Linked DNA regions of Oreochromis niloticus. The main gene of each other region encodes a partner of the protein of the gene in region 2 in a complex. Links are inferred from orthologs where the notes say so. Each region holds a gene or a part of one and is shown on either strand. Other genes may lie near its edges.

Region 1 (3,755 bases), on a different chromosome or scaffold from region 2:
ACGATGGTTAAAAATAATGTCATAGTAAAAACACACAAACCTTCTGTTGGGTTTGCTGGTTGATCCTTGTTGATAGCTGTCTGGATGTTACTGAAGGATGCAGGAGGTGCACATTGTTGCAGAACGCCGATAGCATTACAAAACTGATCAGCAAGCTGGACACACAAAACAAAACCAGTAATAGGTTACGCTGTTATTTGAACAAGACACTAGCTGCTGCTGCTGATAACATAAACTTCAGACAAAAGAAATTTAAAGACATTTCTTTCATCAGTTTTACCAAAGTATGTTTTTTTTTTTAAAATTATTATTATTATAAAATATAGATATTTAGTTTACCAGTGTCAACCATAAGGCCCGGAGACCAGAATCCAATTTTACCCACTGTAAAAATGTGAAGGCATGCTTAAGTTTTGGACTTTTAACTGTATTTTCATAAGTTTTACAGCTTCTCCTGAAGATAAAACCTCCCCCAAATAATGAAATGAGAGAAAGTTCATTTTTTAAACTATCTACTATAGAAATCTGTGCTTTTTACAATGGGGTCACATTACAAAATATATTATTACAGGACAGTCTACACAACAAGCCAAAAGAACTTTTTCTGTTATTTTAGTAAGTAAGTAAAATGTATTTATATAGCGCTTTTTAAAACAGGAAGTTTTTTCAAAGTGCTTCACATGGGAATAAAAGCATATCAATCGATACAATAAAACACTATAAATAGGGTATAGTAGCATATCCAGTAAAACAGTTTGCTACACATGAATATTACCTAAATGCCTGTCTAAACAGATGTGTTTTGAGCTGTTAAAAGTAGCTACAGAGTTGATGGTGCGTAGCGGGTGAGGTAAACTGTTCCATAATATTAGAGCCAAGGCTTGAAAAGCGCAATCCCCCTTCGTTTTCAAACGGGTCCATGGAATGGTTAGAAGACCACTATCAGTGGATCTAAGGATCCGGTTTGGAGAAGCTTAGTGATATAAGTGGGGGCCTCACTTGTAGGCACATGAATGTAAAAGTGAGGATTTTAAACTGATATCTATACTCAACCGGAAGCCAGTGCAAGGATTTTAACACAGGGGTGATATGGGAGAATTTATGACTGTGGGATAAAAGCCTTGCTGCGGCATTTTGGACCACTTGGAGGCGATTTAGGGAAGCCTTAGACAGACAAGAAAAGAGTGCGTTACAGTAATCTAAACGAGAGGAGATGAAGGCATGGACAAGCATCTCCAATTTTACACATTTATTTCCTACAATTTAAGCCCAACAAGTCACACTGACAAACTTTTCTTTATTGTGTAGAAAAACTATATTACAATGTCTCAGGGATTAAATGTGTAGTTAAAGTTCTGACTGTAAGTGACAGAAAGGGTAGTTTCACTGATTGGCCCAAAGTGCATAGTGTGTTGTATGTAGGCCACCAAGCAAAAGGAGAATGACATCCCTGGTCTAGAACCACCCTTAAATAATTATTATTATTATGTTTGTTTGTTTGTTTTGGAAAATGACAAATAGGTGCAGCACTTTATTGAAATGGGAAAAAATATGTGGAAATACAGTATGTAAGGCAAAAACAGACTTTGCAATATTCTAGCAAGCTGGTACAACATGAAGGATCAAAATCTGACCTACTTTTCTCCATTCGTAATTCCTTTAAGTTCAACTTCTGTTCAAGACCACTGAAATAAATAAGAAAATTTGGTCCCTTGCAAGCCAAATATAGAGAAATTACTTTTGCATGTTAAATACTTCTGAATATCAAATGTTGACCCTCTGGGGTTACTTTCCCACGTTAGTTTAGTATTTTTCTTTTCCAAATATATTTATTTTGTATTATTTTGTTCAAGGAAGCTAGCCAAAACGACGTTTTAACACTGTAACACTTCGTTGTTTAAAATAACTGAGCTGGTTTGGTCGTTTCGTAACACAGGCCTTTAACTATACTTGCTATAATGGTTAGCTACCCCGTGTTGTTCACATGTTACTAAACTACTCGAGCCACTGGTTTGCGTTAGCTACCAACTCTAATCGACATGACGATGCATTTTATATATTTTTTTACACCTCCTTCTACCAAAGAACGTTTAAGATATTCAACATTTGCCTTACCGAATTGACTGCGTCTTGAAGTTGTGTTAGCCGGTCCGCCATATTGTCTGTTTCTGACGTAACTGTCGCGAGAACATAAAACATCTCGCGGTATATTCGGTATTTTGGGAACCTTGGTTGGCAAAGGTTGGGTTACTTACTTTTACCGTCTCACAACTGGGTTCACAGCAAACTTGAAACGCGTTAAAAATCGATATTTTCATATCAGCGGAGGTTATCTTCTATTTTAACGAGGAACGGATCTTTATTAGACCCTGTTTGTGGCTGCTTTATGAGGACTAATGTTAGCCTTTAGCTAATATTAGCTACTAAACATCAACAGGAAGTAGCAGCGGAGTTAACGCAATTCCAATGTCTTGTACTGTGGCTTCCCCAGGTATGATCATTTTTGTTTCTTTAATTCATTATCTAAAATTGCATGGCAACACCGATTTGATATACGCACCCGTTTATAATGCGAGCATGTAAGTGGATTTGCATGAAAGCTTAACTCTGATTAGTAAGTTGGCTAATAAGTGAGCCCAGCTTGTGTGTGTATGTATGTATGTATGTATGTGTTGTTAAAATATATTTTACGTTGTCAGCTTACTGAATTTGGAAAACTGAGAAACTAATTCCCTTCACGTTTTATATAGCTGAGACGAATGTGCTTCAGAAGTAATTATGTAAAGTGAATCTGACGCCTAAAACACGCAAGGCTTGCTCGTAATAAGCGAATTAGCTGACACAGCAGCTGTAATGACGAGTAGGTCGAGGAGGAGAAAGCCTAGACACAATGTCAATGAATGATTTTTAGCTGGTATTTTGAAGTCAGAGCTGACGCTTCAGTTGAGGTTACTTCTTGGTTTTCAGATATTTTTAAAATTATATAATACCAATATCGTGGTGTTGTTGTTTGATCAAGCAAAATAGATCTAGATCAAGCATTTCTGATTTAAGTCGTGTTTAAAACATATTAAAGTGATTATCATATAGAAAAAGACAACTTTTATAGAAAAAGGCTGCTGTAACATATTGCTGCTTAACAGCAGCAATAGCTTGCAAAAAGCCACTGCATCATGGTATATACATAGGTTTTTTTAGGACTGTTCAGAGTTCCCAGAAAACTTTCACTTGACTGCAGCTGCTGTATGTACAGATACAAAGTCAGCCTACCTTTAAATAAAGAAGCTATTTTAATAAGATATAATTCAATAGTGTCAGTCATCACTATAATGAATAGCTTGCTAATGGATAATTGCTTTAACCAAATGTAATACTTAAGGGAAGAAAAGAAGGATTGACGAGGTGGATGACTACTATGTTTGCAAGCAACCTTGTCCTAGCTCCTCTTAAGAATCACTTGTATTTCCTCAGGCATGAACTGTACATTAGAGAAGGTCCTGGCAGATGCCAAATCATTAGTGGAAAGGCTTCGCAACCATGACAACGCTGCTGAGATGTTAATCGAACAGACGACACATCTCAACAAGCGAGTAGAGGCCATGAAACAGGTAGGGTGTCACATGAACTTGGGGAAATGTGAGGCCTAAAGCATTTGATGTAGAATCCATGAAGTTTATTTCAAAAGCTGGAATAACACTTTTTAAAAAGTATTTTTTAATTGTTATGATGATCTATCATTTTATATTTTAGACTGA
Region 2 (3,755 bases):
TGCAGGTCGACAACCTGCATGATCACCTAAAGCCCCCCAGGACCCATATGTTGTTGTGGTTCTCAGCGGCAGCCTGCGCCTGAGCTCAGTCTACTGCATGCCTTTCCACTTGGCTGCCTGTTGTAGTAAGACAGTTAACTCGCTGATTGCAGGATGAAAAACTGTGAAAGCACCGCCGCTCAGTTCCCTTCCACCCTCTGCAAAAATGCTGCTGCCTGGAGAGTCAAAAACACCTTGTTTTCAGTGCGAAAGTGCTGCTTCCGTTGTGTGCCTAATACATGATGCTGCCTGTCAAGATCTCTCTTGCTTTTTTAAAAAAAAAAAAAATCTCCTGTGAGACAATTATTCCACTAATTCTCATTCTCAGATCTTCTTCTATTTCCAAGTTATGAGCTAGGTAGCATTTTTTTCTAGCAGCGCCATGCATAAAACTATTATTTTCTGAAAATCAGAGTTTTGGGGGGTTTTTTTATTTGTTTTTGTTTTTTTTCTTTAGTCTCTGGCTGTAGAGATATCTGACAGTGGCAGCAGCAGGGCTCCTTTCCAAGTTAGTTGCTTGGCAATGCATTAGAGTTCCTGCAAGATTTCCAGTGAAATGATTATTTAAAGGGGGTGGAGGATAATGGCCACTGTGCTCTTCATAGGGAGAAAAGAAATGACTGTTTATCTATTGTTTACTTGCCAGATTCATGCAAACACACAAATAATTGGCCAGTCAGTTGTGGTAGCATTTGAACCCTGCATTTTAAAGCGTCACGAGATTTGGTTTGGTTTGAAAATGTGATAGCAAAGTTGATTTATTCTCGTTAAACCCTCCTTTTATGATATCAGGCATATAGTGATGAAATATGCTGTTTATTCCGAATCACTAACCCGTGTTAATGATTGCCTAATAACAACATCACCGATTGGTTCACCTTTGTACAGCAGGCACACATTAAAGCATGCCTCCCCACTGTCTTATGACTTGTCCATCACAACCGCCTCGCGTGTCTGTGACGAACGTGATTTATTAATACCGTACCAGAGAGAAGATGTTGGAGTGGCAGTCCTCAAGGCTTGCCCCGTTAGCCACCCAATTCGCCGATGTAGTCATAATGGTCCGCCTTTGGGGTCGTCAGCGCAGGGCATGTCGAAATCCTACATCGGTTATCAAACACCGAGCAGGGGCTGACAAATCGGTTCCCTCACGAGTCTGCCCCCAAAAAATAAAAAAATAAAAAATAATAATATATATATAAAAAAAAAAATTAAATAAAAAAAACAAAACAAGCAGGCTTATAACCTCACAAGAGGTCCGGATAATAGGCTCGGAGTGGTCTGATGGGCGTATTCAAAAAGAAGTGCAGAATGCATTAAAAAAATAAAAATAAAATAAAAAAAATGCCTGTGTTGTAGTGTTGATATATCCAAGCGTGAGCGGGGGATCACAACATTGTTACAATCCAGGTCGGGCGATTCCAAATCTGATCACTGTCAACAGCCGGAGAGCGCACAAATGTATCCATTTCAATCCCGAGGAAGATCCGCCTGTTTCCAAATCAGTCTCTCCGCGGATAGTTTCATCATTAAATGACCGTAATCCATTTGTAGGGGGGGGGGACGACGACTCCCTTTTCTTCCTCGCTCTGGGAACAGCCTACCTCCTCTCCTCTCCTCCTCCTAAAACAAACAAAAAAAATTAAAGAGTCAAAACTTCTTGAAATATAATCGCTGCAGTGCGAAACAATCAAGTTGAGGAGCACGCAGGATATCTGATTCCGTTTCCACAAGCTGATGCACCACTTGTGATAGTTTTCGAGAATCGCGTGTGCTATTTATAGCCGTCTTTCTTGTCACAACCGTTCCTCTCACAATAATGTAACCCCAGTGTGCGTGTCTCTCACAAACACACACACACACAAACGGGTGGTGCGGGCAGGAATGTTTAATCCCTCTGTTGCTCTTGAATTAAACGGGAGCGCAGACGGAGAGGTCTCTAAAAAAGAAAAAGCTTCCCCCTCCACACACACACAAACACACACCAACCAACCAACCAAGTGCACCTCCGCGGCAGGACGGACAAAGTCGAGCGGGTTCCTCAGTTAGCCTGAATCATGAGTCAAAGCGTTGAGACAAGAAAAAAACTATTCTTACAGGGCTCACTCCACCAGCAGGAAAACGACAAACAGGCGTCTGTGCAGACGGAGGTTTGAAAAAATCCTTCCTTCCTTTCAGCTTTATATCATTACGAAACGTCCTCTCGCGACCACAACAGCCTCAGTCTTGCACACCAGAAAAAAAAAATACATATATCAGGTAGGATTTCTTTAAAAACGCACAGTTCAAGCAGAAGTGGCCGTCCTTGTCTGGCGCCCGTTGCTGACATAAAGAATATGTTGCATGCTGCAGATATAAATATATTTGAAATGTCTCATAAAGCACCACCTCGGCATTTAAAAGCGCATCCTCCTGTTTCTCTTTCGCTATTGAATTAAATCCTCAAAGGCGTGTTTGGTTTCCTCGGCGGCGACTCCTTCCTCATTGTTTATCTCTCAGATGGCGTTATTATGCAGCTATGGAAGTGTATGCGTGCGCGCAGCCCGAATGTGTCACTCTCACCCTCCGTGTCTGTTTGTTTTACGCCGAGCGCTGTGGCGTTTCTTCGCGCACGATCGTCCAGCCCACCGCGCATTGTAATGTAATGGCGGTCGGAAGCGTACTACCCGAGACTCGCCTTTTCCATTTGGCCAAGTTTGTACTCACGTGATCAAAGTCCAGGATTACAGTAGTTGAGTGTATTTGATATTAGAGGCGGACGCGACAGTCGCCGAGATTCCTTTATTGTTGCCATGTGCGCTTTGTTTCTGTGATCTTTTGTTCTGCCTGAAACGCGCAGTGAAGGGTTATTATTTTATTTATTATATTTTTTTATTTTTTATCACTGCACGGTGTCATTCTGTGATGCATTGGTTACATAATGTATCTGTGCTCTCACAACAGAGGATGTGACAGAATAGAGGTCAGAATGACTTACTGAGCACACTGTGTTTCATAAGAGATATCTATGTAGGTTAGTCTTACACTCAGCATGTGCATCACATATTATCTGAAAACATTTCTGAGGCTTTTCTCACGCGAAAAAATAAAAATACTCAATATGACTCAAACCAAAGATTGGGAGTTATTTAGAGTGGTTGTATTCAGGGCCGCAGCTAAGATTTAAAAGATACACCGGTTATCATGAGTCAAGTCCACCATGAACCCCACCCTAGCCCCACCATGAACCCCACCCTAGCCCCAAGCCCCAACTATTGTTTTAGTGTACGGTGTCAATAAAGTTAAATATTTATTTTTAAAAACATTTAAAAATGCTGAAATGCATTTTGAATATATTTTTAATGCTAAAATATAATTGTTGCTGTCATCAATGAATTTTCAAATGTACAGTTTTACAAAAAAAGAAAACAGTCAAGCACATTTTTTTTTAAATTAAGATACCGAATTCCAGTTAGTTATTAAGTTATTCACCTGGTGATGAAACTATGCTGAAGGGTGTTTCTTTCGTCTCTTTGCATTTTACATTTTTATCTATCGGGTGTTATTAATGATTGATCAACAAATAGCTAATATTGGGAGATAATAGTAGCCTGCTGATACGGCCCCATTCAGGCTTTGGTAACTGGGCAATAGTTTGCTAAAGCTTTTACTATACATTAAAACAGCATTAAAAGTGAAAGTACCTCTGTAATTTGCTTACAGCTTTACATATTCCA

The links. Proteins that work in one complex are often made in the same cells at the same time.
Region 1: mediator of RNA polymerase II transcription subunit 13-like (region 2) and med21 share a complex: the UniProt entries of both Homo sapiens proteins name them as parts of the mediator complex. The link is inferred for Oreochromis niloticus from reciprocal best matches to the Homo sapiens genes MED13L and MED21.

Annotation. Positions count from the first base shown.
Region 1 is NC_031981.2:34,719,107-34,722,861, reverse strand, and holds the start of med21 (mediator of RNA polymerase II transcription subunit 21), read right to left. Parts: upstream 2,256-3,755; 5' UTR 2,200-2,255; coding exon 2,116-2,199; intron 156-2,115; coding exon 41-155; intron 1-40. Other genes in the region: fgfr1op2 (FGFR1 oncogene partner 2 homolog), read left to right, coding at 2,467-2,491, 3,472-3,608. UniProt on the Homo sapiens protein: Component of the Mediator complex, a coactivator involved in the regulated transcription of nearly all RNA polymerase II-dependent genes.
Region 2 is NC_031972.2:20,824,020-20,827,774, reverse strand, and holds the start of mediator of RNA polymerase II transcription subunit 13-like, read right to left. Parts: upstream 2,674-3,755; 5' UTR 1,097-2,673; coding exon 1,025-1,096; intron 1-1,024. UniProt on the Homo sapiens protein: Component of the Mediator complex, a coactivator involved in the regulated transcription of nearly all RNA polymerase II-dependent genes.